Rhinolophus ferrumequinum: one gene and its partners. The protein of the gene in region 4 purifies or fractionates together with the protein of the main gene of each other region. This does not show direct contact. Links are inferred from orthologs where the notes say so. Each region holds a gene or a part of one and is shown on either strand. Other genes may lie near its edges. The genes, in order: UPF3B, SMG7, UPF3A and UPF1.

Region 1 (7,026 bases), on a different chromosome or scaffold from region 4:
TGCCCCATAAAATGGGTACCCCTGTCACTTTCAATGACTTGGGGGTGACCATAGAGGGCGCACAGCCGTGTAAGAGCGACCAATGCATGCCGCTGATCCGCAGCTGGACACGGCCAAGCAAACATCAACCCTGTAGCAGTGTCCACTGCTGTGAACGCATACATCACATTGCGGGCCTTAGGCAGGGGACCAATATAATCCACTTGCCAGCGAGTGAGGGGCACCCTCCCTCGTGTAATCTGCTGTGTCTCCCAGTGGATCCTCCACCTTTGGGGGCTGTCCTGGGCACAGACGGCACAGTCATAGCAGGCATCTGCTATCTCCTGCCATTTCAAAGGCAGACCCCAGCATCTGCTCACCTGCCACATTGTTCGGCTTCCAGCGTGCTGCAATTTCCTATGCAGCCAATGGGCCACATCAGTGGCAGGAGCCCATTCTAACCATCAGACCCGTGCTAGGGCATCTGCTTCATCATTACCTGGGGACACTAAAGGGGACTGACCTGTGACATGCATTAGGGTCACCTCCTTTCTCTGCCCTAGGTCCCAGAGGTCCTGCCACATGGCTTGACCCCACACAGTGTATGGTGTCCGTTGGCCACTGTTCTCAGGAGTTGGACCCCCAAGGAGGGGTGGGAGGACATGGATGGCTCTCCGGCCACCGTGGAGAGGGCCCTGCAGGCTCTGGCTGAGCGGTTGCCGGAGGAGGCGAAGGCTACAGCCGGCTGCGTGGACTGGATGTTCCTCATGGCGTTGAGTCTCAAAACGGAAAGTGCGCTTAATGAAATGATCCAGGTGCCGGACCAGGTGTCCCGGTTGGAGGCTCTGGAAGCCCGGGTCCGCCTGTTAGAAGAGGAGCCCCACAGTGGAGAGTCTGAGGCAGAGGCGGAGGAAGTGAGTGGAGACAACGTAGCTCCCAAACCCCTAGCCTGGCCAATCTTGAAGCAAAGGGTAAAACGTGACCCCGGGGGCGTTGCTGCAGGCAACCCAGCTGTGATTTAGTTCACAACCTACACCCCTTACACTCCCACTGAGTTGCAGGAGCTGGGGAGGTGGTACAGACAGAGCCCTGGAGAGCCAGTCTCCGCTTGGCTACTACGTTTATGGGATAAGGGAGCAGACAACATTCTCTGCTCCCCAGGCGAGATGGAAAAGCTAGCCGTCGTGACAGTGCATCCGTCCCTGTGACAAAGGTTACAGAACTGCCATAGGTTGGCTCAAAACCAGGGCAACCATTCTCTAATGGAGTGGCTCATTGCTGCGGTACGCACAGTATGGGGACAGGCTGGCGAGTTGCCAGACACATACCTTTTGCAGTAGGATGGAGGCCAAGGCCCCGGACTCCAGGTCAGGGTGTACGCTGAGAATCGGAGGTTTCATGTAGAACTGACCATCCACTGGTCTTCCAAGAATAAACAGAAGGTTTTAGCTCTTGTTGATACCGGAGCTGAATGCACTTTGATATATGGCAACACCAACTATTTCCAGGGACCTGTGGAGGAAGCACTATTAGGGCTAAAATATACCTACAAATTGGCCAACTCCCCTCTAAACGATATGTAGTGCATATCTCACCCATGCCTGAATACATCTAGGGCGTGGACATTCTGGCAAGCCTTACACTTAACACAACAGCAGGGGAATTTAGACTGTGATGCAGGGTGGTGAAGGCAATCACCTAGGGACATGCCAAATGATCTCGTTTGAGACTCCCATCCCCGCGTTGCATAACAAATACTTGGCAATATCACCTGCTGGGGAGAAGAGATAACCCAAACTATACAGGAGTTGGCAAAAGTGGGCATTGTTCACCCAACCCACAGCGCCTTCAACAGCTCTGTGTGGCCCGTGTGAAAACTAGATGGCACTTGGAGGATGACTGTAGACTATCGGGAATTGAATAAGGTAACTGCCCCCTCTCCCCCGCATATGCAGCTGTACCTAATATTGCTAGATGGCATTGGACAAGCCCTGGGAATATACCATTTTGTCATAGATCTGGCTGATGTTTTTTTCAGTATAGCTAGTCAAGACCAAGTTGCCTTCATATGGGGAGGGCAACAATGGACATTTACCGTCCTCCTCCAAGGCTACCTACACAGTCCCACTATGTGCCATGGCCTCGTGGCAAGTTGATCTTCAGCTCTGGTAAAAGCCTGTCTCGGTGCACCTGTTTCACTATATAGATGACATAATGTTACCTTATGTGTCTCTTTCAGATCCAGAGCAAGCAGCTGGAACGCTGATTCCCCACCTGGAGCAACAAGGATGAGCAGTGAACTGTACCGAAGTGCAAGGGCCTGGGTTCTCTGTCAAATTCTTGGGTGTTACGTGGGCGAGTAAGACAAAAGTCATGCCAGAAGCAGTTACTGACAAAATACAGTCTTTTCCCGTCCCCTCATTTGTCCCCCAGTTACAGACTTTTTGGGGCTTCCTGGGCGACCCTTCATCCCCCACTTGGTCTAAATCCTTAGGCCATTATGTAGACTGGTTAAGAAGGGGATCCCAGCTCATGCAAAGTTAAATACCCCACCTGGAAATCATGAGGCAGACAGCCTCACCGGGCTGCGTCAGCCCCTCAGGACCATCCATGACTCCCCTGGAAGAAAGAGGAAGGCCCAGCTCATTTGCTCTCCTGACACCTGGGCCCTACCAGGCCCTCTGAATTCAAGTGATTGGGCCACACAGTCTCATGCCTCAGTGAGGCACCAGAAGCAACCTCTTCTTGCTGCTGCCGCAAGACTTACCCACAGGAACACACACGGTCTCTTGGCCATGGCACTGGCAAACCAGGCCTTGGTGGTTGGGTATCTTGGGTATCTTAGCCCCGTGGAGTATTGGTATAGAATAGAGACTAGTAATATCCCCAACCTTTGTCTTAAAACCCCTCCCATGTCACTACTGAGAATCCAGGGCCCATGATAAAGCAGAGCTCCCTATATATGACCCCTTTTCTGATTAGTTAGCCTCCCTCACTCGCTCCTGGCTGTTCACATTTTTTGGGTATTGTTGCTTTCCTCCTGGACCTGTTATTGTTTTTCCTTTGCTTATGTTGTTGTTGTGGTGTCTGGTTACAATGTACATCTTCAACCTGCAAGAATCTGGGAGCTATGATGAGGGGGCGGGATGTAGGGACCTGTCCACAGGCAGATAAGGTAGCTGGCAGTCAAGGTTTCCTGGCTCCATGGGAATGCTACTGCATGACAGCAGGCCTGCAGGGCCTGCAGATGATTTCTCCCATGGAATGCTCTTTGTTTTACTGTACTTATATAACTTTGCTTCTGCGCCTGTGTGCAGAATGCTACTCCTCTGGCTGGCCACCACTGGCGACTGTTCCCAGTCTGTAAGTCTCACTAATACCTATCTTGCACCCAGTTACCTGGTGTGTTCTTTGGGCTTGTGGCTTCTCAGGCACAAATGTTAGAACAACTCAGACTCCGTCGGAACAGGCAGTTAGGCAGAAGGTGAAAGGTCCTGCCTGAGTCTTTTTATTAAAAAATAACCAGCTTAAAATAATCAATATCCCAAAAGACATTTTGGGTTGGCAATTTCTGCTTCCCCTCAGAATCAATGATAGAAAACACAAATTGTTTCCCCTAGTGAGGTACACTTTGGATAACATCGGGTTTATCAGAGGAACACGATATGAAGGACAGCACGCAGAACCTATCTTTCGATCTGAGAAACACTAAACATTCGATATTGAAGTATTCCTTTTACTTAAAAATAGAGACCCTGAGATACCTAAGGCTCCAGAGCTCCCAGCCAGAAGCGGGTAACTGCTTTGCATGCCGGGATTTGTAGTCCAGGAAAGAGTGCTTGTAGTCAAGATGGAGGAATTGCTGCGCCGCGAGGGGACTGGGCGGTGCGCGGATTGGGCTGGGTGAATTTAAGACCAGGTATTCAAACCTCTCCTCCAGAGGAAGCAGGGCGCCCTGTAGTCTCGCGAGATCCTGACGAGGCCCAATGGAATGCGGGGCCGTCTTATCACTAGGGGCATTTGGTGGGGGCGGAGTCTTGACGGAGGTGGGCCGGCAGTCGTTAGCTGCTCCGCGTATGGGCGTTTGGGCCGAGCTTCGACTGTGAGGAGCAAAGCAGTGGCCATGAAGGAAGAGAAGGAGCATAGGCCTAAGGAGAAGCGAGTAACTCTCTTGACTCCCCCCGGGGCCACAGGCAGCGGCGGTGGGGCTTCCGGGGACAGCACCAAAGGGGAAGATAAGCAGGATCGGAACAAGGAGAAGAGGGAGGCGCTGAGCAAGGTGCCTGGTCCGCCGTTGGCCCGTGAGAGGGCGGGACGCGTTCGCCACCCATGGAGGATGGTTGGGAATGGGGTTGCCCTCTTCCTCTCCCGGTCGACCCTTCTATTTCTTCCCCTGTGTGAAAACCGCATCACCCTGTCTTAATCTCTGGACCGAAATGGATGGAGCCCCTCCCGGCCAAGCCCCGGGGTGGGAGTGAGGGAAAGGGGATTCCCAGATGGAGAAGGGTTTAGGTCAGAGCTGTGAGATAATGGGAGGGGTGGGGAGCGATAATGAAGAGAATGAGGAATTAAAACATTAATTGGGGGAAATTATTAAATACTGAAGGGACTATCAAGGGTGGGAGTAGTTTGTGATAGGAGTATTAATGGAGGCGAGTTGAAGGAGTATGGGGAAATTAATGGTCTGGGGGCCGGATCGGGTGCATCCTATTTTGGGAACAATGAGGGCATTCGGGATATTCCTTAGAGTTTTGAATTCTTTATGCTGAATGAGGAAGGGTTTTGTTTTAGGATGTTGGATGTGGTAGGGAAATAATAAATCAAGAGTTCGTGGCACCCACAGAAGACCAGGGTTGGCCTACTAATTTCTTACCACTACATCTATTGAAAAATGGGTGATATAAAATGATGTGGAAACCTGGTAAACTTCGGGGCTTCAACCTGAGATTTTCCTTGGTCCAGACAGTTCTCATTTCTAAGAGTTTTTAAAAACTGTGTTACTATTTTTTATTAATTCTGAACATTAGGAGACTATTTTCTCCTGGGTTTTTATAAATGATCTCATCTTTCAAAGCACAGCTTTCTTCAGGGATGGTGATTCATTCATGTATGACTGAAAATTGATTTGTACTAATTTTATTTTACTTATTCATTTCTGAAGGTGGTAATTCGGAGATTACCTCCCACTTTGACCAAGGAGCAGCTTCAGGAACATCTTCAGCCTATGCCAGAGCATGATTATTTTGAGTTTTTTTCTAATGATACTAGGTAAAATAAATAAATAAAGGGGGGTAAATGAAAAAGGTTTCTTCCATTCTTTTTTATCCTACTGTTTTCCATTTGAGTTTTGAGCCTGTCTCTTTAATATGTGCATTCTTACAATTCAGCCAGACACCTGCAAGCATATTTACATAATTGCTTTCCTCTCTGCAGTCTGTATCCTCATATGTATGCCAGAGCATACATCAACTTTAAAAATCAAGAGGACATTATTTTGTTCAGGGATCGCTTTGATGGTTATGTATTCCTTGACAATAAAGGTGAGTTCTAGTAACTAAAAGAGTTTCTTTGTCATTTGTGTTTAAGACAATGTGTGTTATCACAGTGTTTTCTTAATGCCTTGATAGCTTTTCTAAAATCCTGGATGATAAAACGTGCAACATTTAAAGACTTAACCTATTGACAAACCTATTATAATCTTATACATAGATATGTGTCTTTTCACAGTCCTCTGGTATTTTTATTAACCCGTTATTTCTATAGTTTGATCAACTGAATGAAATTGCCTGTTTTCTCCTCCTGTGACAATTTTTTTGCCCTGAATTAGAAAATCTGTTGTTTGACCAGTTTCAGCAGTTATACTCATAAGTGACTCTTTAAACTTGTATGGCAAGTTTAAACATTTCTCATCTTGCTTCAGGGATCAACATTTGTTTACTTAATTCAAATAACTTAAGCCAATAGTTCCATGCTGGAATACTGTTTAACATTCTAAATTGTATGTAATTAAAACATCGAATTTGATGATCTCCCACTTTGTATCCAGGAGTCTAAAGAGAAGAAAAATTTCTGCCTTAACTCTATTTATTTTCTGCGGCTTGCAACATTTAGCCAGAGAATGTCCTCACTGCCATTTGTCACTTTTCTTTGGCTTTGCAATCATAGTGAATGATGTGTCTTTTTGTTGAGTTTTGTTGTTTTCAGTATTACTTCAAAGTTAGTGAAAATGAAAGCTTTACCAGGGAATATGCCTGTAAAAGTAGGATTGCCACTGTCCAACTTTTATAAATCCCCACAAACTAGCTACTTCTCCCCTCCAGCAACTATATTCCGTAGATAGCAATGGTTTCCTAGTGACTTAACCTGGAAATCTCTGAGTTGTGTTTAACTCTTTCCTCCTTTTTATCCCTTACATTTAAAGAATTGATGAATCTTTTAAATTTGTTTCTTAATGTCTTATTCATCCAGTCTAACTAATATTTTCATATTTGATATCATCACCTAATGCTTAGACAACCACTGTCTCTAAACTTACAGGGTTTTCCTTTTTTTCCTTTTCTGTGTAATTCAGTCTAACTGCCATAAAATTAATCTTTTTGGAAATAGTCATTTAAAATAATAGTTGTGAAAAAGTCCAAACTCCGGGCAGCCGGTTAGATCCCCACATGGACCACTGTGAGCTGTGACCTCTACAACTAGATTGAAACAACTACTTGACTTGGAGCTGATGGGTCCTGGAAAAACAAACTTAAATAAATAAAAGTTTTTTTTAAAAAAAAAAAAAAGTCCAAACTCCTTAGCCTGGTAGTCAGGACCCTCCATAGTCTGGCCTCACTTCCGTTTTCTTCAGCCTATCTTCCACAGTTTCGTTCTGCTTTGGTCTGGGTTATCTATTCATTTTCAAACACATCAGTTATTAAACTAATGTGATTCTGCATGTACCAGGCTTTCCAAAATTATGTTTCCTCCATGACTGCTTTGTGATGCCTTCTGGTCAATTCTACTTACTTTATTCTGGCTTATGTCTATATGCCAGTGGTCTTTACA
Region 2 (7,317 bases), on a different chromosome or scaffold from region 4:
ATATAGGTTATTCAAACATTGTGTTCATTCTTACTCTTTTCTCCCTTCTGCTAAGAACTAAATTCATCTCCAGCTGTGTACCGTTAATTCCCCAACTGAATGGTAAGTCTTCCTGACCATGGTGAATTACAAAATGTAATATATATTAACACAGAAGCCTCTCAAAGCCAACTGACCTTCCTGTTAAAATGATCACTACTCTCTCAGTCTGCTTTTCATCGTACTTTTCCTGTCCCACTGGCACCCCCTTATTTGGGGCCTTAACTGCCCATTACAGTACCCAGGTTCCTCTTCCTAATACACAACTATGAACACGTGAACTCCCTTCTAAACAAATCTCAGATTGTCTACTGTCCACCCGTTTTAACTATAAATTACAGATCATGATATTCAAGACCCTCTCAAATACCTTATGGAGTATTCTTTCCGTGATCACCCCGACTATAAAACAGCATGTCCCTGCTTTGCATTATTTTCTTCCTAGTACTTGTCACCACCTGATAAACATATCATTCTGTTCATTTTGTTCTCCACGATATCCTCAATGCCTAGAATTACCGTAAGCTTTCAACACATATTTGTGGGAAAAAATGGATGAACCCAGACATGTTGCACAGAATAGCTGATTTGGAATTAGAAGACCTACATTTGAGTTACAGAGCTTCCAGCTACATGGTCCTCAACAATTTTAACTTCTTTGGGCTATACTTCCTCATCTGTAAAAAGAAGGGATCAAACTTAATAACCTACAAAACGCTATACGTTTTTCTAGCTGCATCACCCTGTCTTCTTGTGTACATGAACTAAACACCTCCCCTGGCCCCCAACATCCACGTCCTACATAGCTCTGCTCGGTTTCCTTCCATTTGGAACCCCCTTTTCTCAATCCACCTGTCAGAATATTGTTTATTTTTCAGGTCCAGTGTAAGTGTTATTTTCTCCTTGAAGCCTAACAAACTGTAAACTCTGTCAGAGGAGAGTGGAGTTCTTACCTTTCTATTCTCAGCAGTTGGTACAATGCCTCATATAGGTGATCAACAAAATGACTGACGAGCAGTGAATGAATGAGCACATGAACAAAGGAAGCTTTTCCTGCTTCCCCCCAACCGCTCAGATAATCTCTTGCCTTTGGACTCTTATAACACTTGGCATCATGTATGATACTTACCATTTTTCCTCTGTACTGTTGTTATTTACTTGCCTAATGTGTACTAAACTGCAAAGTCCTGAAAATTAAGGACTATCCTGATGGTTTCCATATCCTCCCTCTACACCATCTACCATACATCTTTGACACAGTTGTATTTATTGTTTATCTGATATATTAAACAATAAACAGGCAAGAGGAGAGAAAAAGGAGCTTGATATATACAGATGGCGTTCCAAGTGCCCTATAGTCATTGGGCTCACGTGTTGCGTGGATCCTGTGTCTGTTAAGCTCAGGCATTCCACCATTAACTCAAAGATTTCATCATTCTCTCTTCTCCACTCTGCTTAATAAAAGTATAACTACTTTCAAAAGTAGAATAGCCACCCTCATGTATCACTATCTACCTTCTCTTGCGATGTCCATATAGGGATCCACTCACACAACAACACTTTCACTTCACTAAACAGCTCAAGTGACTTTTCTGTTCTTTTCAGATTTCTACCCCGTCCAATTTCCTCCTCCACAAGGTATGAAACCACTTTTTAAAACATCTTCCCATAAGCCTGCCTTCTTAGTTCTGCTCCTGAAAGACCAAAAGGATCCATTTTAAGATCTGCCTTCCCCTTTTCTAAGAAGTCGCAACTCCCCAATTAACCTCAGACTCTAACAATCTGTCATCAAGATTTTGACCCTCGTTTCCTTCTACCTTCAAGGTCTTAACTCAGCTTCTGCGGAACCGTCCTGGCTGCACAATAGCTGGTGGCTTTCCATTCAATATGCTCTCGCCATCCTGTACTTGCTTCCAAAGTGTCTGCATCTTCTCCCTCCTAAAACGTGTATCAATCGTCCCCCCACCCCCTACCCCACGCACAGCTCATACTCGCACACTGTACCCACGCGTCCCTCTACCTTCCACATACAAGTTCCTTAACATCACTCTTAATGATGGTATCTCGCGACTACACTGATTCTAACCCAGGTTCTTTAGGTGAACCCAAACCCATCCATTGGACCTCCCTCTTTCCTCACTTCCTCATCCATTCCCCCTCTTTATGCCCGCACCCCCACCCCGCCAACTAACTACAAATGACATTATTCCTCATTACTTCCCACCAAGAATGAAGAACAAACTCCAGTTTCCCGCGGTCTCTTCCTCCCCAACCCCCCACACACCCCAGGTGTGTAGACTTCCACGGTCTTCTGGTCATGCACCGCTCCAGCCAATCCCACACCACACCACGTTTCCCCCGCCACCGGGGATCAGCCTCCTCCACACCCACCTCCACTCGGGGTCGCCGCCGCATCCCCGGGCACCTTCCCCCACCCCGAGCCAGCGAGCCCGCGACCCCCGGCGCGCGCGCGCACATTCTCACGCTTCCCTAACCTCCTTCCCGGTACCGCGACCAGCCGGCTTCGCTGGAACTCAGCCCGGCCCGCGGTGGCTAGGCATCCCTGTATTTGCCCGCTCCGCCGCCTCCCGCGGAGCTCCTAGCAGCCCCCGCCTCCCTGCCGGGGAAGGAAAGGACACAGCAACTCCCCCGCCACCCCGGATATACCACCTCTGTGTCTGTTTCTCCAAGCCCCAACCCTAGGCCCGCTCCCCCTACGGACGGGGCCGGCCTCGGCACTCACCGGAGATACTGCGCGCTCTGCAGGCTCATCCTCCGCCGCCGCGTCTTCCCGCGAAGCCTCTGTGGGTTTCTCAGGCTCCTCGGAGCGGCCCCGCGGTACCGCGGGTGCTGGCGGCCGCCGCCATCTTCCTCTCCTCCGACTCCTCCTCGCTCGGCGGGGGGGTGAGGGTGAGTGAGGCAAGGGGGAGGGAGCGGGGAAAGCTGCTCTGACTGCTGCTCCGGTCTGTGGGGCGCAGGGACACTCCGACCCGGGAGGAGGGAGGAGGAGGGAAAAGGGAAGGGGCGGGGGGAAGAGGAGGGAGAAGCAGAGGAAGGAAGTGGGGTGCCTCTCGCGATATTTCAGCGGCGCCGGTCCCTCTGGTTGGTTTCCGCCTCTCTGTAGCGCTCCCTCTTGGGATCAGATGGCTGTGCATCGACTGTGCGGCTGCTGAGCAGCCAGCTGAAGGCGCTTGGCGGCTTCCTGCCAATCCACCCCTCTCCTCCCGCGCGAGGGGGCAACCCCAGCCTCACTGGGAACATCGAGCCCAAATTTACCGGTAGTTACATTCAAAGTCTTCCCCCGTCTTTCCACTCCATCCAACTTTCCCCTTTTCCACTCCTCCACTCTTCCCTACCGGAAACGCCGACCCTTCCTCCTACAGTTCCGCCCTCTAGTCCCTCGACTCTTGTCTTCCCTCGCGCCCTACAGTGACGCTGAGGACCCCCCCTCCTTTCTGCGGTCCCTCCCTCTGCACGCAGGGAGATTTGGAGGGGATGAGATGGAGCCCAGGGAGGAGGAGAAAGGAAACCAATCGGATTGGATAAGCAGCTGCTATGGCAACTGGAGGCTGTAGTTGTATCGTCATAGTAACCAATGTGCGCCGAGCGGGTGACCCTCCCTTTGCGAATGGATTCCCAGGAAGGTGCCCAGGATTCCCCCCCGGCTTCCCTTACATCTAAAGGCCTCCCCCAGGTTGGGAATCCGGGGTAGTTCTCCCTGGCGGTGAAGTTCACTTCCTCCTCCCTTTCCCCTTCCCGCAGCGTTGGGGGAGACCCCGAGGCATTCACCATGGGCTTTTCCACCAGCCTGAGGACGGGAACCACCTCCATAGTTTCCTCTTATTGCCGGGCGTGGAGAGGGCCGGGCCTGCGAAGAAGATGCGGGGCCTGAAGGCTGGCGGGCGAGGCGGAGGCGCTGGGCTGCGGGGCGGGCGAGGGGTTTCCCCACAACTGCCTCGGGCTCTGGGAGGCGGGATCCCGCCAGGACGGGGTCCCTGAGGGAGGAGAACGGCACACGACAGCCGCGATCCCTCTCCTGCCGACTGGGACATCGACTTTACCCAGCGGGTCGACCGACCCCTTATAGAAATCCCCCAAACCCCACCCCACATCCACCCTCAGCTAACGAGCCTCCTCGGAGTTAACCCGGGCGGCCTTCCAGAGCCACCTCCTGCCGCAAGGAGGCCAGAGTGAGCGTGGGAACACATCCTAGAAGGCTAACGTGGGTTTACAGCCTTTAGAGCCGAGAAGGTGGCGAGACGCTAACGATTGCCATCTCAGAGGCACCCCCCCAGTGGGGGTCCCACTTGGTTATCAAAAGCAAACCGAGTTCCTCCCTCCTCTGCAAACTTCTTCCTTCTCTGATGGGTCTGCAGTGGTTTAGAACTTGTCACTCTTTGTATTTTGGGTTGCAGAGGAAAGCGTTGGGTAAAATAGGATTAAGAAAAACCTAGGTACTGGCGCGAAGTTCCGGTGAAAGGTATCTAAGATTTTCATTAAAACAACTCTTTGAATGTCTACTATGTGTATTTTGTGTCAGGTTTGGGGTTAAAAGGCAGAAATAAAGAATGGGGTTAATAGCATGGAGTTGTGTGAGAAGTAGCTGGGGAAGTCATCCTAATGATTTGAAGGAATTATTTGACTTTTCATAAATTATATTTTCGATTCGTACTGAGTCGTTTAAGCAGCGATCCCAAAGTACTTTGGGATGTGTAACAATATAAAACCCTCCAGAAATGTAGCCCTCTTTGGATATTTAAAGTGAGGGTTTTAATGGGCTATTTTTGTTTGACTCAGTTTGGGTACTTGATTCCTGCTGTGTTCTGTGCTACGTAGGTAAAGAGGCGCTTTCGAGATCCTTCCCCGAGACCGCCCCTGTTAAAAGAATGAACCAATGTCCATTTAGAACATAATGTGTAAGCCTAGAAGAAATGAAAGCACAGGCTACTTTGAAATAAATCCCAAAGACAGATTTTCATTGACGAAATAGAAATTGAACTTTGCCCTTCCTGCTGCCAGCGCCTACTGTGATGCAGTGTGACGGTGACAGCAACTGTAAAATGCCTCCAACATCCCCTGCTCGCACCGTCGGGCCGCCCACTGGGGGAAAGAGAGCCCCCTAGTGAGAGATTGTTCTCATCTCTGGTTCTTCAACCCTGAGAGCCCAAAGATGGAGATTACTACTACACCTGACCTAAAACACCCTACATTTCTTTCCTGAAATGTATTTGCTAGATTTTTAAAGAGATTTAGGCCAGAATAAAAATCTTATGTAAAATACTTACCCCCTCAGTACTCATCATAATAACGCCTTTTATGTCTGTGGCTCACATCTCCGGGAAACAGTACGTGAGCGCGTATCATGACACTCCTGAGAAGCAATCTAACGAAAAACTGGGGTCTTCTCATTTTGGAAATAAGGAAACTAGGATCAAAAAGTTGAATCCATTTGTTGTGTTGTTTATTCAGTAAACATTTACTGAGCGCTTACTACATTTCAGACATTGCCCAGGTTACTATGGATACTAGGGTGAAACAGACTTGGTCCCTGTCTTAGAGGAACCCACCTTCTGGTAGAGATACCAGAGAGTAGAGAAGTGATTAGGATGAAATATGAGTGTAGTAATGAAGGTAAGAACAAAGTACGTTAGGTTGACAGATGAGGGTCAGAAATATCATCTTTGTATTTCATACCAGCTTTCCTAAGAATTTTATAAGATTCTTCAATGGCTTTACAATGTCAAGCACCAACTGGATAAAATAGTAACATTTACGTTTTACAGCTTATAAGACATTGATGCCCATCTTGAAAATAACTTTCAAAAATCAGTAGGACTCAGAAAAATTGACCCAGAACTTACATATTGCTTAATGTACATTTTTCCAGTCTCCTCTTTCTATTGCCACGCCATCAACTGACTTATAGAATGCAAGCATCTTTCTGCAATGTATTTATTTATTTTTCCTCCTGAGGATAGAGATTACATCTAAACCAAAAGAAATTAAAGAGAAGCTGTCTCATTTTGTTTAATCCTGCCTGACATTAAGTTTTTCAGTTTGCGCTTAAGTGATTTTTATGGAAAGATCATAAGCTAGCCCATCTGAGTGTGCATTCCAACTCTGCCTGTCCCAGTCTCTGAACTTCAGTTTCTTCCTTGACCAAAGTGGCAACATTACCTATTATAGGTTTCCTGTGAACTTTAATGGTGATATATGTGACTGAGTACATGGGTGCCTGACATACCACACTGGCACTTGAGAAACGTTAATTTTCTTTTTATCCTCTTGCTCTCTTATATATCAAGCTAAAATGAATCATTTAGCACTACTATAGCATAAAATTATCTTTTGAAATAATGGTTTATCTAGTCTTTGTCTAGGAACTCATAGGTCTGGTTACACACCCGAATCTATTCTCATTCAGTGCTAGAAGATAGATTTCTTTATCCTTGACTCTGATTACAGAAAAGAATACAGTATTAGGACATTGTGAGTCAGATTCTAGAGAGTTGAAACTTTAAAAAAAAACACTTTTTCTCACTAAAAACAGCCCAGTATAACCATATTTGTGCACAAGTAAACAGAGATACTTTCTGAGAAGCTACTCTTAACATTCCTACCAAATTTACCCCGAGCTTTGATGACCTGACAATAAATACATAGCAAGCCTCCTCCCTCTTTATAATAATAGACATCTCACCTGTTCCATGAAACCTTAACAAGTACTAATTTATTTTAATATTTAGCCTACATATTCTAAATGTTTTGAAATCCTGTATATAATTAGGTACTTCATAAATGTGTTTCTATTTTGATGAGAAGAATCAATTATCAATTGCAGTACTCAAATACACGATGTGTATGCAGCTGCCCTGTGCTCTCTTCAGCACCACACCTCAGATCGTGAAGCTCGGTGATTCAATCAAATGAGTGATTCATTCTCTTCAAATAGTGAGTCAGATACAAACTGACATCTAAACTCAGGTTTTCTCTAGTTCATGATTTCTTAGACCAAAGGTCAGCAGGCTTTCTCAACACAGTTTGCCAAATGTACATTTATTCATTCGCTCCTGAGAGGGAGTTACCAGGCCTGCAGAACAGTCAGGAAACATTGCAGTCTAAGATCCAAGAACAGAAACTTCTGGCTTGAGTAGCTGTGAGATTGGAGAATGCTAGTCAGAGCTCTCTGTCCTTCCGTGATTCTCCTAATATTTACCAAGGGAAACTACATTCATCTTCAAGAATTTCTTCCAAATCCCTGTAAGAATCCCAAATTCT
Region 3 (7,375 bases), on a different chromosome or scaffold from region 4:
ATGAGAACACTGAGGCTCAGAGAAACTAGATACTTGCAGGGAGTGCAGTTAGTTAAAAGGTGGGACTAGGATTCCAATCTGAGTCACTCTGTTAGTCCAGTATCTGTCCTCCTTTAACTGTACCAGTTTTCCTAAACTTTAGTCATTTGAAAATCATCTTTATGTGTTTTTTTTAACCATATCTGTATTTACCTGTTAGTGGTATTTTTTTGTTGAATGGACTGACATTTTTTACTTAAATGTATTTATTCAAAAGGAAAGTTTATTTGGCTACCATAAATGAGAACTCATGATATTGAAGATAAAAAGAATAATAATGATAATAAAGAATGATACAAACATAGTGAAAATCACTAAATCACTGATGAACTGTCTGTCACCTGTTGAAGGTCTAACCTGAGGTTGGCTCTCTCTGTTAATGAAAAGATTTGGAAGTAAGAAGTTTTGTCAGAGTCATCTAACTACAAAGCTGTAAAAGGGAATTAAAAAAGATACAACTTGAGAGGGGCGGTGTGGGGTCTGGGTGTTAGTGATGGAAGGGAGTACAAGGGGCTTCTAGGGTCTGGAATATTCTGTTTCTTTATCTGGTGTTAAGTTACATGGGCGTGTTCATTTGTGAAAATTCATGAGTTATATATCCATTATATTCACTCTTTTTTATATCTCAATACAATTTACTTTAAAAAGTTTTATGAAATAAGTTTTATTGATGTGCAAAATACAATAAGGAAATAGTATGTTGTTAATGGTATGTGTTTCTTTTTAGACTACGGTGGTGCTAGTAGAGGCATATTTTAAATCTATTTTACAGGAATTTAATGATCTGCCTACTTAGAAATAACTTGCAGAAATAAAGGTCTGCACTAATTTCTCGGTACATGTGGGAAATAAGATGGAAGTGGAGATGGCTTCTATTACCTGTAATAATTTGCCAGCAAGTGACAATGTCTCTCAGCTTTATTATTGGGGAAGGGAAACAGGACTTTATTGGGGAACAGTGTGTATCTCCAGGACTTTTCCAAGTCAAATTGTTGTCCTTTCAATCTTATTTGTGGAGGGCACAGCTCAGCTCCAGGTCCAGTTGCCACTGTTAGTTGCAGGGGGCACAGCCCACCATCCCTTGCGGGAGTTGAACCAGCAACCTTGTGGTTGAGAGCCAGCGCTCCAACCAACTGAGCCATCTGGCCACCCAGGAGCTGAGCAGCACCTCACTGACTTCATTCTAGTTGAGGAGGGCATAGCTTGCTGGCTCCTCAATGTGGGAATTGAACTGGCAGCCCCATTGCCTGGAGCTCGCGCTCTAACCAACTGAGCCACCTGTCCGACCCTGTCAGCTTCTTAATGTTGGTAAACAGCTGCTCACCTGAGATCTGCAGTAAAGAACTCAAAGTAATCGTGTGCAGGCAGCGGGTGTAGCTGCTCTTCCAGCTGCTCTTTGGTGAGGCTGGGAGGAAGGCGCCGGATCACCACCTGGGGAAAGGAGGCTGGCTGGGTTTTGTTTCACTCTTACTGTATTAACCTTCAATTATTTCAATGCTTGGTGACCTATGTGTATGCTCAAAGGAAAATATAAACCTTCAAAAGCACACATTTTAGGAACAGTTAAGGAACACATATATGGACAACATGGCTGTCAAAAGGTTAATGGGAGTTGAATAATTGAGAAGGGATCAGTGAGGTCAGAAAAGGCTGAGCTTAACAGTTCTTTTTCATGCAATCATGTCATTACTACCAAACAACACTTCACGTGACACGTACTGTCTGTGCCCCCAGTGAAAAATAACAGCTCCTGCATTCTCTCTGCATGATAACCCACAGTAGAAGGTAAGATCTACGCAGGGAATGTATGTATGTTGGAATTTTTGTTACCAACAGTAGCAAACCAACGGTGTATTTGCTGGTTCTGCCAAGAGGAACTCCGCCTGCACTGGACACCTTTCGCCTCCGGTCCACAGTGTCCACATCGCGGGTCCTCACCCACCGCGCCACCAAGCTTTCCAGGCTCTCTCTCTTGGCTTCACTATACTGGAAAGGACCTTTGGCGAGCCGCCGTTCCCCTTTCGTGCCCCCTCAGGCCGTGGTCCAAAGCACTGTGGACAGCTACTGCCCCTCGCTGGTGAGCCCAGTGTCTCAGCTCTACACGCTGAAAAGACTTTTCTTCCTTCCCAATCCATAAAGAACTAACGTTTCAGAGGGTGCTGAAAACTCTTGTCTCAGGCGGTAAGAGTTGCTCGCCGCAGCGCTGCCCGGCCGCTGTCCGCGGTGCTGATTCCCCCGCTAGCGGCCCCGCCCCGACTCCGCCCAGCAGCCCAGCTCTGGACACCACCCACCCACCCACGGAACGCACCACCCTTGGTCACCCCCCTTGGTCTCCCCCCCTCCACTGCCACTCCACCCCTTGGCCTCGCCCACTCCCTCTCTCTCCTGATCACCACCCCGCACTTCCACTCGCCCCGCCTCCCCCTCTCGGTCTGGACCAATCTCTTCTCCAGACGTTTGCTCGTACCACCCCGTCCTCGTCCCGCCTCGGCTCGCGGAAATCCCTCCTTCTCTGGCGAGGTTTGCCGGCACCTCTCAGCCCACCCCACTCCTGCCCTCGCATCCCCGGGTCCTGCCTAGGACTCAGCTCCTCTCCTCCGGGGTTTCACGCACAACCCGTTCTCGCTCCGCTCTATCCTGCGAAGCACGTTCCTCCTTTCGCGAAGTTTGCTTGCATCGCCCCGTCCTCACCCCGCCCCCGCTCCTTGTCCCACACCCACCTTGCTCAGGACTGTCCTCTTCTCGCGAGGTTTGCCTGTGCTGCTCCCACAGCTGGAGGACAAAGCCAGCGGCGATGCTGGCTCTCGCCGCGGCGACTCTCGGCGGAACTGAACTTCCGCAGCCGACGGCTTCTCCCTCCAGCTCTGGCCCCGCGCAGCAACGGCCGCCCCGGGGCCTCCGGCACACTCCCTTTCCGAGCGCATTCCGCTCCCGCCGCAGAGTCGCCGCCGCCTCCCGCCCCGGCCTAAACTTCGCGAGAACTGGAATGCCGCCGCCCCCACTGCCACCCCCACCCCCTGGTTCAGATGCCGCCCGCCCCTCCCTCCTTCCCCCTGCCACGGTCCCTGTTACCCACGTCCGGTTCTGGCCCACGACCTCCGAGCCCGCCCCTCTCACGGGGTTGGAGACACCCGGGAAACAGGGGCTGTCGGACTGGGCCCGGATCCCAAGCCTGGAGTCTGGTGTCCCGGTACACGGGGTGCCCCTGGACCCGCACCTCCGACCAGCGCTCTATTGTGTGGTCAACCGAAGCAGCGGTCTGGGTGGTTGAGATGTCGAGACTGCCCGCACTCTCCTGCAGCCCGGACTTCGTAGAGTCTTGGGACGAAGGAGGGTTCCAAGGCCTTGGAGATCAGCGGGAAATTCAGCACCAGAGGACGTTTGGCTCCAGAAGGAGCCTTTAATAAAACTCTGAAGGGCTGAAACTTTCCCACGGAGGAGAGCTGGTCCTTTAGCTAAACATTCCTGAGAATTACATTCACGCGCTTCATAAACTATTTACAGCTATTCTTTTCCAAAGGAGTCTGAAAGTTTCAACAGAATAGTAATTGTACTCAAGAAAAATCAACCAATTGACAAACAGCACAAATGGCTACATGGCTTTGCTATTCGGAATAGAATAAATGTACCAGAATTGAGAGCAGAAATTGGCCAGCGTGGAAGGTTCAAGCGCTCAGGTGTCAACGCTGACTACGCATCACAGGCTGGGTTAGAGTAACTAATAGACCCACGGCACCCACAAAACAGGGCCTTCAGAAGGTTTTCCAATACGATTTTTACTCAGCTTTTTGGGGCTCTCAATGGAACAGCAACCAAGCCAGATTTACATTTGTATACTTTTCTTTTACAAACATGCAGGCAGTGACACTTGGTTAGAATAACATAGATGAAAGTTTTTCGTTTTTAAATGCTATATTTTATACTTTCTCACTTTTCTTTATGCATGTTGGCCACATTTTATTCACAGCACCTTTATCCCAAGAATTTCAAGTAGAAATCAAAAAAGAAACCAGAAAATGGAGTAAGTGAGGCATTAAGAGATCAAGGGAGTCACTCCACCCAACAAAAGCAGAATATACTTCTCAAGCAAATAGGGCACTTTCTGCAGGATGGAGCACAAATTAGGCCACAAGATAAGTCTTAATACACTTAGAAAGATTGAAATCACACCAAGTATCCTTTCCAACCACAATGGAATGAAACGAAAACTCACAAAATGTGGAAATTAAACAACACACTCAAACGGCCAATGGGTACAAAATCATGAGAAAAATTAGAAAATAAGACAAATGAAAATGAAAACACAACATACCAAAACTTATAGGTTGAAGCAAAAACAGTGCTCAGAAGGAAATTTACAGCTGTAAAGGCCTATGTTAAAAAAAAAAAAAATCTTAATTCAATAACCTAACTGCATACCTTATAGGAGCTAGAAAAATAACACCAGAACTTAACCCAAAGGTAGCAGAAGGAAGGAAATAATAAAGATTAGAGTGGAAATGAAAAAAAGACTAGAAAATTAACAGAGAAAGTCAACAAAATCAAAAGTTGGTTCTTTGAAAAGGTATACAAAATTAACAAACCTTTAGCCAGATTGACTAAGAAAAGTAAAGAAGAGACAAGAGACTCAAATTACTAAAATCATAGAAGGGAAATTGTTACTGACTTTAGAAAAATAAAAAGGATTATAACAGGATAGTATGAACAACTATACACCAACAAATTGAATAACCTAAATAAAATGGACAAACTCCTAGATACATACAAATTACCAAAACTGACTCAAGAAGAAATAGCTATAACAAGTAAGGAGGTAGTATTAGTAATCAAAAACCTCCAAACATATATTAGAAAGGCCCAGGACAAGATGACCTCAGTGGTGAAGTTTACCAAACATTTAAAGAATTACCACCAATTCTCAAACATTTCTAAACAATTGAAAAGGAGGGACACTGCCTAATTCATTCTATGAGGCCAGTATTACCCCGATACCAAAGCCAAAGATACTACAAGAAAACTACAGACCAATATCTCTAATGAATATAAACATCTCAACAAAATATTAGCAAATTAAATTCAGCATTATATTAAAAGGATCATACACCATGACCATGTAGGATTTATCCCAGAATTGTAAGGGTGGTTCAATACACAAAAAGTCAATGTAATATACAACATTAATAGAATGAAGGGAAAAAAACCTGCAAGATGTTATATAAATGAACCAAAGATGGCTCTTGTATACTGCTCTCTATGTTGTTTACTTCACAGCGGGCTGGAATGGTTAGCTCCAGTCCACCAGCACCAAATCAAATTTTTACACTTGCAATTATTTTAAATATAGCCCAAACAATATATCTTTAGCCAATTAGAGCCTGCCTGTTCTGCATACCTGGCAATACTACACACAGCATCCACTAGCATAAATAAGAAAAACCCCAGGCTATAGAAGACTCCAAGCTGCTGCTGCACTGAGGATTTCTCTAACGCAGAGACTGCCATGTTGCTACTACTACATCACCAAGACATGTGAACCTCCTCTGTGATTCCCCTCCCCCAGGAGTTCCCTTGCCGTGGTCCCCTTCTGGGTGGAGGTCCCACACTGTTGTCTTTGGAAGGGGCTACCCCCTCCTACAACTTGTCAAAGCACAGCTTAAAGAAAGCTACCCCAAACAAAATGTGCTACTGCCACCTCATGGTCATGTCTTTTCCTTGAACAGACCTGAAAATCTAGAACTCATTACACCTGACCATCTCAACTGATCAAAAACAAAGCATATGTGCTACTGCCACCTCATGGTCATGTCTTTTCCTTGAACAGACCTGAAAATCTAGAACTCATTACACCTGACCATCTCAACTGATCAAAAACAAAGCATTTGATAAAATCTGCACCCTTTCCTGATTAAAAACAAACAAACAAACAAACAAAACGCCACCACACACTCAGTATATTATGAAGAAAGGGAACTTTTCTAACACCACAAAGGGTATCTGAAAAACTCACAGCTATCGTCATACTCAATGGTGAAAACTGAAAGCTTTCTCTATATGATCAGGAATTAGACGAGAATGCCTACTTTTGCCACTTCTATTCAAAACAATAGTGGAATCCTAGCCAGAGCAGTTACGCAAAGAAAAGAAATGAAATGAATCCAAATTGGAAGGAAGAAATAAAACTCTCTCTATTCGTAGATGACATGATCCTATTATTGAGAAAACTCTAAATAATACAACGTACACACACACACACACACACACACACACACACAAACACACGCACAATGTTAAAGCTAATAAATACATTCAGGATACAAAGTCAATATACAAAAATCAGTTGTATTTCTATTCACTAGGAATGAACAATCCAAAAAGGAAACTAAAAAAACAATTCTATTTACAATAATATCCAAAAGAATACTGAGGAATAAATTTAACCAAGGAGGTGAAAGACTTGTAAATGAAAACTACAAAACAATGAAAGAAATTAAAGACATAAATAAATGGAAAGACATCCTGTTCATGGATTAGACGACATAATATTAAGTCATAAAAATTCAGTAAAATCCCTATCAAAATCCCAATGGCTTCCCCCTCCCCCAGAAATGGAAAAAACTACCCTAAAATTCATATGAAAATTCAAGGGACTCACAATATCCAAAACAATCTTGTAAAAGATTACGTTTGGAGGACTCACACTTCCCAATTTCAAAACTTTCTACAAAGTTACAGCAATCAAAACAGTGTGATACTAACATAAAGGATATACATATGGACCAATGGAATAGAATTCAGAGCCCAGAAATAAACTCTCTTATTTTTTGACATGGGTGCCAAGATTATTCAACTGGGAAAGGACAGTCTCTTCAAGAAATGGTGCTGGGAAAACTGAATATCCACATGCAAAAGAATGAAGTTGGACCTTTAACTTACATTTACAAAAATTAACTCAAAATGGATCAAAGACCGACAACTAAGAGCTAAAATTATTTTTTTAAAAATCTTATAAGAAAACATAAGTAAAAATCTGCATAACCTTGGCTTTGGCAATAGTTACATAAATATGACACCGAAAGCAGTCAACAAAAGAAAAACTAGATAAACTGGACTTCATTAAATTAAAACCTTTTGTGTATGAAAGGACACTATCAAGAGAGTGAATAGACAACCCAAAGAATGGGAGAAAATATGTGTAAAACATGTATCTGGTAAGGGTTTAACATCCAAAATCTGTAAAAGAACGCCTACAACTCAACCACAGAAAGATAGCCCAATTTCAAAATGGGCAAAAGACTTGAATAGACATTTGTCCAAAAAGATAAATAAATGATAATAA
Region 4 (7,677 bases):
GGGAGATGCTAGATGGCCCTGCTGCCCTCAATAGCAGCTTTGAGTTGATGTAGGAATTGGAGCTTTGAGGCCAGGCCAAAACCCACCTCTCCAGACACCCCAGTGTGCCCCCAAAAAAGCAACCTGTGGTTGAATTAGAATCAAAGTGTCTGCCTGCTGTCCCCCCACCCAAGGCCTTCTGTGACCCATCATCACCTTCAAAGAGACCATTCAGAGAGCAGAGGAGACTATAAAATATATACACACACACTTATTTTTCTTTTCCCACCAGCATCACTGGGGCCTTGGCCACACATCCGTGTCCCACAAGGGCCTCCTTTGAAGCAAGAATGGGGCTGCAGAGGGGGGGGCCCACAGAAACCCACAAGCACCCACTGTTCCTGGGGGAGCTTCAGACGGGGTCTAGTCCATGGTCCAGTGGGGCTGGCCACTTCTCAGCAAGGGTGGGGTTTCAAGGGCCACATCTGTGGGAGCCTGGAGCCCGACAAAGGGTTTCAAAGAGGCCAGTGGCTGGACTGGGGGAGCAGCTGCAGGATCCTAAATGTCCTTTTCCCAAAGTTGTGGAATTTCCCTGTGGCAGCCACGGCTGCTTACCCTTGAGGGACCTCTCTTGGTACGAGAGAAGAATTCTATTTTCCCGGACTTGGAGGCTGGCATGGAATTCGAGGACGGGCTGGGTCAGCAGGTGGGGCAGAGTTGTGAATTTAGGGCTGGCGGGTGAATTAAAGTTGGCTTAAGTCACTGAGTGGGATGGGTCTAGGACTGGTTGAGATCTACCTGGGCTGAGAGAAACACACACCTGTGCTGAAGGCCCAAGAGGACTTTGTGTGGTCTGAAATGTTTTTAGTCTTTTCTTTTTTTTTAATTTCAATGATGAATTATTAAAATGCAGACAAAGCAAAAAAGACTAAGCATTCGCAAAGAGCTGGCGTTTGATGGCTGGTGGCCAGGTACTGCCTTAAGTTCTTCACATAACATGTGTAGGGTGTTAGGGCCACTGGAATCCCATTTCACAGGTGAAGCACAGAGAGGCCAAGATATTTGAGAGAGGTCACACAGCAAGCCAATGGCAGGGCGAGGATGTGAATCCAGACCTGCTCTGGTTAACCCAAACTCAGCAACTGTCTATCCTATGTGCTTAGAATATAGCCATACATGTATTTTTCTTTTTAATTGAATTTTATTTTTAAAAATCTTTTACTTTGGTAAAATATATAAAGTTGCCATTTTAACCATGAAATTCAGGAGCATTAAGTACATTCACCAAATGTTGTGCAACTATCACCATTATCTACTTCCAAAATTTCTCGTTGCCCCAAATAGAAACCCAGTATCCACTAAGCGATAAGCCCCCATCTCCAGCTCCCGCCCCCCCACCCCCAGCCCCGGCTAACATCTAATCTGCTTTCTGTTGCTATGGGTTTGCCTATTCTGGATATTTTATATGGAATCATTCACTCTGAGGTTTTTAGTGTCTGGCTTCTTTCATTCTGCAGGATGTTTTGGAGGTTCGTCCATGTTGTAGCGTGTGTCAGTGCTTCGTTCCTTTTTGTGACTGAATAACATACTACTGAATGGACAGACCACATTTTGTTTATCCTTCATCAGCCAGTGGACATTTGGGTTGTTCCTACCTTTTGGCTATTGTTACTAGTGCTGCTGTGTACATACGTGTACACGGATCTCTGCATCCCAGCTTTGAATGCCTTTGTTATAGTTTTCTCTCACACACACATTTTTCATAGACTACTAACTGTCATGGACACTACTTTTTTAAACAGCGTTATGGAGTTATAATTGACATACCAAATACTGCATATGTTTAACGTATACAATTCGATGTGTTTGATATACATCCACACCTGTGAAACCATCACCTTGATCAAGACAGTGAATACAGCAAGCACCCCAAATGTTCCCTCCTGCCTACCTCCTATCCCTCCCCAGGCAATCTCTGATCTGTTTTCTGTCCATTTACATTAGTTAGTTTGCACTTTCTAGAATAGCCTATAAATGGAATCTTGCAGTATGTAGCTTTTTGGGTCTGGCTTCTTTCACTCAGCATTACGCCTTGGAGGTACAGCCGTGTTGTTGAGAGTGTCAGTAGTGCACACCTTTTCATTGATGAGAAGTATCTTGTGTGTTCATACATTCTCCTGATGATGGACTTTCTAGTTGTTTTCAGTTTGTGATGATTGCAAATAAAGCTCCTGTGAGCCTTTGTGTACAAGGTCTGCTTTCATTTCTCTCCGGCAAATACAGAGGATGGGAAAAGCTGGCTCCCATGGTGGGTCCACGGTTAACTTTTAAAGAAATGGTCAAATTGCCTTTCTAAGCGGCTACACCAGTTTGTCTGTCCAGCAGCCTGGACAAGAGTTCTGGTTCATCCCTGTCCTCACCAGCGTGTGACAGTGTCAGTATTTTTCATGGTAGCCATCTCTGGGAAGGATCGTGGGAGAAATGTGCCAGAGATGACTGAGAAGCGAAGATTTTGACTAAATGTGACAATTCTTTTAGTCATCCCTTCATTAAACATGGGTAATAGGACACTTCGTTGTTCTACCCAAGCAGTGACAAGGGCTCAAGAGTTGTCCCCTAAAACATTTATTTAGAACCTATTGTGTGCTCACTATTGCACGAGGCCTTGGGTATAGAACAGCAAACAAGACTGACACAGTTACTGCCCTTCAGAGAGCTGGTTTCTGCCTTGGATTGGATCGGTTCTCTAGAAGCAGAGCCTGAGATGGAGATTCAGGGGTGTGAGTTTGGGGGAAATGTGTGAGGGAGTGAAGGACGCAGGACAAGTTAAGGAAGTGGGCTCAGCTGGAATCAAGCCTCAGTCTGATCCGGGTGAGGGGGGAACCCTGGAGCCTGATGACATTAGACTGGTCCCATTTAGTTGCGAGGGATTCAGCCTCTTGTGCCGCATACCATTCAGTCCTTGGCATGGGCTTTCCTAGGGTGTATATGTTTTAGAGGGGGCATGACCTCCCTGGTGAGACAGTTTGCTCCCGGACAATTCACAAGGGGTGGTTGTGAGCCTTTAGCAGTCAATACTTGCAGCAGCTGGCATGGGGGTGCGCCAACCAGTAAAAAAGTTCTGGGCAGGGCACTCAACAGCCTGTATCCTCTACAAAAAAGTGGTGTCCATTAGACAAATAATCGCACTGACAATAATTTAATCACAATTATGATTAATGCTGGCTATGAAGAGGGCTCTATCAGAGGAAGGGAGTGGAAGGTCTTGGGGTGACAGGGAAAGGAGGGCTAAGGAACACATCTGGAATCCTGGCTACCATGTCATTGGGACCTGGGGGTCAGCTGGTCCCGACTGCATTCTGGGGCTGGGCTCCCTCCTGAGGCACCTGAGCTGATTGGATAGGCTTTGAATTTTATTGAAACCATCTGTTGGCTTGTTCCGATTTCCCCTTAAACTGTCTTCCTGGAGGAGGGGAGATCTAATTATTCATTTTCTATACCCTCACATTTCAGTGCACAGGAGGCCAGAGAAGATGTGAAGAAGGAAAAAGGAAGCTCTTATCACGTTGTGACAGGAATACTGGAAAATGTGGAACCATAAAGTATCAGTAATAAACCAGGAGCCGTGTGAGATGACTTCAAGTATTTAGAGGGCCCCAGAATTTTGGGACAGAAAGGGAAGTGGAGGGTTCTTCAAAACATTTTGCAAAAAAGGATCCTGAGGCTCGGAATTTAAGGAGATTTAGGCTCATAAACCAGCGGCTGAATTTGGACAACCTTTTACTGAGCACCTACTGTGTGGGGGCATTATTCTCCGCATAGAAAAGACCTTATAATGAATAAAGCCAACCCCATGCACGTGAAACTTTATAAATATTAAGGGGGTGACTGGTATTTCATTTATTCTTCATCTTAATGGTTATTAATTCCCTTTCCCATGAAACTCAAGGCTCAGAGAGGTGAAATCACTAGTACAAGGTCACACAGCTGGTAGGTAGTCAGGTCTGGATTGTGGTCCCAATTGCTTTGCTATATACTGCCTCTGAATATTATTGTTTGAGGCAGCAGCAAACACCATTTCTGCGAGCAACAGGATCCCTGCAGGGCTGTCCCCACTCGTTTATTGAACCACTGCACACTGAGCACCTATTAAGTGTGCAGACACCCCCGTTTTACAGATGGGAAGACTGAGGACCAGGGGGCGTCTCCAGGAGATGGTGGTGTACTTCCCCAGCTCCATCTGCGTAGGGCATTCAGTTAGGGCTCAATAGAAGCGTGGACCATCGCAGCAGCACCAACCGTCGCGCGAGCACCCCTCTACAGCAGTTGGGGCGGGACTACGTGCTCCGGCAGCCGCCGCGACAGCAGTTGATAGCCCCGCCTCCGCCCCGCGCGTGCGCACTGCGCGTCCCGTCGGCCCACTCGACTCTGGGCGTCCGGGCGCGGTTGGAGAAGAGCGCGCGCCTGCGCCGACGTCGGGCTCGCGCACGCGCACCTGCGCCGGCGTCGGGCTCGCGCACGCGCACGGAGGTGGCGGCAGCGGCGGCGGTTCCTGCCGGGGGTTGCGAGCGGCGGGCGGCTCTGAGAGGAGCTGTGGTGCCGAGGGGCTCCGAGGCAGCGGCGGCGGCTCGGCGCGCGGCTCTCGGCTCGGCTCGTGCCGCGGCGGGCGTTTCGGTCCGGTTCAGGGGCGCGGGCGCGGCGGCGGCGGCGGCCCGAGGCCTGCGGCCTAGGCCTCAGCGCGGCTGCGGGCTCGATTGCGGCGCGGAGCCGGCCAGCGGGCCCTGAGCGGCAGCACCATGAGTGTGGAGGCGTACGGCCCCAGCTCGCAGACGCTCACCTTCCTGGACACCGAGGAGGCCGAGCTGCTCGGCGCTGACACGCAGGGCTCCGAGTTCGAGTTCACCGACTTCACTCTTCCCAGCCAGACGCAGACGCCCCCCGGCGGCCCCGGCGGTCCCGGAGGTGGCGGCTCGGGGGGCCCGGTCGGCGCGGGACCTGGCGCTGCGGGCGGACAGCTCGACGCTCAGGTGAGCGGCACATGGCGGCGCCGGAAGCCCGGCCGGGCCTCGGCGCCCGGGGACCTGCCCCGGCTCCCCCACTCCGGCCGGGCCCGGGATAACCTGTTCCCTCGTTCTCCACTCCATCTGGGCCCAGAACAATGTGCCCCGGGTCCCCGACTCCGGCCGGTCCTGGGCTGACCTGCCCCGGATCCCCTACTCCGGCTGGATCCGGGGTAACCTGTCCCAGGTCCTTCACTCTGGCTAAGCCTGGTCTGACCGGTCCCATGTTTCCCGTTCAGGTCGAGTGCGGAGTAATCTCTCAGGACCCCGACTCTGGCTAGGTTCAGAGTAACGAGTCCCGGTCCCACACACCGCCTGGGCGCAGGGCAGACCTGCTCCGGGTCCCACTCTGGTTGCGTCTCGGGGATCTGCCTTGAGTCCCCCTAAGCCTAAGAACTGTCCCGGATCTAGCTCAGGCCAGGTCTTAGGTGACTTCCCATAGGTTTCCTTCCGAGCATGTACGAGGTGACCTGCCCTACGTACTTCTCTGCCAGGTCATGGGTGACTTGTCCCCAAGTTGCCCTCTGCCTGGATCTCAGAGGATCTGCCCGGGTCCCCACTCTGGCGGAATGGGAACCGTGCCTCACACCCCCCACCTGTGGTCGCAGTCATCTGGACACCCCCCTTCTCACAGCCACGGAGCCTTAGGGTCAAATTTCCTCAGGCCCAGGGACTGGAGAGCGGAGGCTGCAGGCTCCAGGAGCACAAATGGAATTTTTGCCTCCGGTGGAGAGAACCCCACATTCGCTGGCTTTTGCGATTATTCAAGAGGCAGGTTGCGTTTTGTTTTTCCTTCTTGCATTGCCTGTTGCTGAAACCGACCTGTTACGTAACTCCACAGCTCTGCCTTGGAAAAGTTGGGTTTGAGTTTGTTCCTCCAGTGGGCAGTGATAGTGGGTTTTACATAAATGGATCTGCCACATCAGAAACTTTTGTTTTTAATGATGTGAATGTTTAGTGAAAGCGACTTAGGTATTTTAAATTTGAATTTGGGGGATGAGAAGTATCAGGCGTACACTTCCTGGAACTGGATGCCTGCTCCCCAGTGGGAGAAAGGGACTCCTTTCTCCCAGTGGTAGGGTCTTGGACTAGGGTCCCAGGGAATGTCTCCATCATCCTCTGGATCTCAGATTCCATTCCCCAGGTTTCCCTGTGCCTGGCACGTCCCTTAGGTTTATTTTCCTGAATTCACAGCCAGGGAGGAGCTACAAGGCTCACCTTATCACAGGTGTCAAGGCATGAGGTCCCAGTGCCTGGGCTGGGGCGACCACCCCATCCTCAGCCAGAGTGAGCTCAGACCCTGTTCTGGGGGATGAGGGTTATGTGCTAGTTGGGAGTCGTTGGTTGAGTCACTCCCGTGGGTAGACCACCCACTTGGCATTTCTTTTAGCCCCTAATAGAAGCGAAAAACATTTGACTCATTCTAACCCCAGATTCCTTAAAAATAGAAGTCTGATCGGTGGGGCATCAGAGAGAACAGGTGTGCAAGTGTGTATATTTTTCAGTTTTGTTTATGTGTGGTGGAGGGAGGGAGGAGAGAGGGAGAGTCTGCCTGGAGAGAAGAAAGAGCCCCTGGAGGTGTGTGATCACTTCTGTAGTCTGACTCTGTAGACCTCTCTGTTGCCACAGCTGTAAAATGGGGGCATAGCAGTTTTACTTTTGTTACTTTTAAACATGCATGATCTCTGGACTCATTCATATGGGCTAGATAGTGCTGTCTGTAACTTGTGCCCAGTGTGTCTAGAAGGTCCAGGATAAAGATCTCTTGGTCAAGCAGTGACCACGATCTGTGGCAGCGCAGGGTTGTGAATAGTAATTGGTTTTTTGCAAATCTTTTTTTTAACTGTAGCCAATACAACACAGCAAACATGGGTCAGCTGGGGTTCTAGTTTTGTTCCTCATATTTGTGATTAATTGCGGCGTGTCCTCTTTCAGTTGAAGTAATCGATTTATTTTCCTGCACCTGAACACTGAGCTGTACAATATAAAAGCATTAATACTCCCCACTGGAGGTAAACAGTACAGTGGAGCTCACTTGAGTTCTGATGACATCAAAAGGGCCTGTTCTTCCTTACTTTTAGTTACCCTGATGAGCCACCCACCTATACCTGTAGCCTAATTTTTGATTTATATTTGGGGAAGGGGAGTGATGTTTGTGTCACAAGAGGAGGCCCTGAATTTGGGGGCAGGAAAGTCTGAATAGAATTGGAAAGTGGAAAAAAATTGATTATCTTCTGTGCCAGGTGGTGGCATTTGCTCCCTACAGCGTTTGCTGGTCACAGCATTTGGGGAGCTTTTCCGTGTTTGTCCTCAGGAGTTGGCTGCGGAATGAACTGTGTGACGGGGTTGCCAGAGAGACTCAGAAACCTCCCATTCTAAATGCCTTTTGATTGAATCTTACTGGATTAGTGGTTGTAAAGTGTCAAGTGCTGTTGCAGCTGCTTTTGTTTCACAGTTTTATTGAAAGAGAATTTACATACCATACAATTTACCCATTTAAAGTATACAATTCAGTGGCTTTTAGTACTGAAAGAGTTGTGCAAACACCACCATAATCAATTTTAAGACATTTTCTTCACCCTAAACAGAAACCCTAGACCCCTTAGCCTAACAGTCCTCCCTCCGCCAACCCCAGGCG

What was found.
Region 1: the proteins of UPF1 (region 4) and UPF3B purify together in Homo sapiens (co-immunoprecipitation; 16 studies listed by BioGRID and IntAct, with this or other methods). This does not show direct contact. The link is inferred for Rhinolophus ferrumequinum from reciprocal best matches to the Homo sapiens genes UPF1 and UPF3B.
Region 2: the proteins of UPF1 (region 4) and SMG7 purify together in Homo sapiens (affinity purification with western blotting; 7 studies listed by BioGRID and IntAct, with this or other methods). This does not show direct contact. The link is inferred for Rhinolophus ferrumequinum from reciprocal best matches to the Homo sapiens genes UPF1 and SMG7.
Region 3: the proteins of UPF1 (region 4) and UPF3A purify together in Homo sapiens (affinity purification with western blotting; 5 studies listed by BioGRID and IntAct, with this or other methods). This does not show direct contact. The link is inferred for Rhinolophus ferrumequinum from reciprocal best matches to the Homo sapiens genes UPF1 and UPF3A.

The regions. Positions count from the first base shown.
Region 1 is NC_046284.1:37,074,589-37,081,614, forward strand, and holds the start of UPF3B (regulator of nonsense transcripts 3B), read left to right. Parts: upstream 1-4,013; 5' UTR 4,014-4,102; coding exon 4,103-4,258; intron 4,259-5,140; coding exon 5,141-5,247; intron 5,248-5,412; coding exon 5,413-5,519; intron 5,520-7,026. UniProt on the Homo sapiens protein: Involved in nonsense-mediated decay (NMD) of mRNAs containing premature stop codons by associating with the nuclear exon junction complex (EJC) and serving as link between the EJC core and NMD machinery.
Region 2 is NC_046305.1:14,980,672-14,987,988, reverse strand, and holds the start of SMG7 (nonsense-mediated mRNA decay factor SMG7), read right to left. Parts: upstream 3,012-7,317; 5' UTR 2,812-3,011; coding exon of another isoform or gene 2,783-2,811; intron 1-2,782. UniProt on the Homo sapiens protein: Plays a role in nonsense-mediated mRNA decay. Recruits UPF1 to cytoplasmic mRNA decay bodies.
Region 3 is NC_046287.1:56,480,871-56,488,245, reverse strand, and holds the start of UPF3A (regulator of nonsense transcripts 3A), read right to left. Parts: upstream 3,017-7,375; 5' UTR 2,964-3,016; coding exon 2,760-2,963; intron 1,471-2,759; coding exon 1,364-1,470; intron 1-1,363. UniProt on the Homo sapiens protein: Involved in nonsense-mediated decay (NMD) of mRNAs containing premature stop codons by associating with the nuclear exon junction complex (EJC) and serving as link between the EJC core and NMD machinery.
Region 4 is NC_046301.1:51,445,953-51,453,629, forward strand, and holds the start of UPF1 (regulator of nonsense transcripts 1), read left to right. Parts: upstream 1-4,656; 5' UTR 4,657-4,775; coding exon 4,776-5,006; intron 5,007-7,677. UniProt on the Homo sapiens protein: RNA-dependent helicase required for nonsense-mediated decay (NMD) of aberrant mRNAs containing premature stop codons and modulates the expression level of normal mRNAs.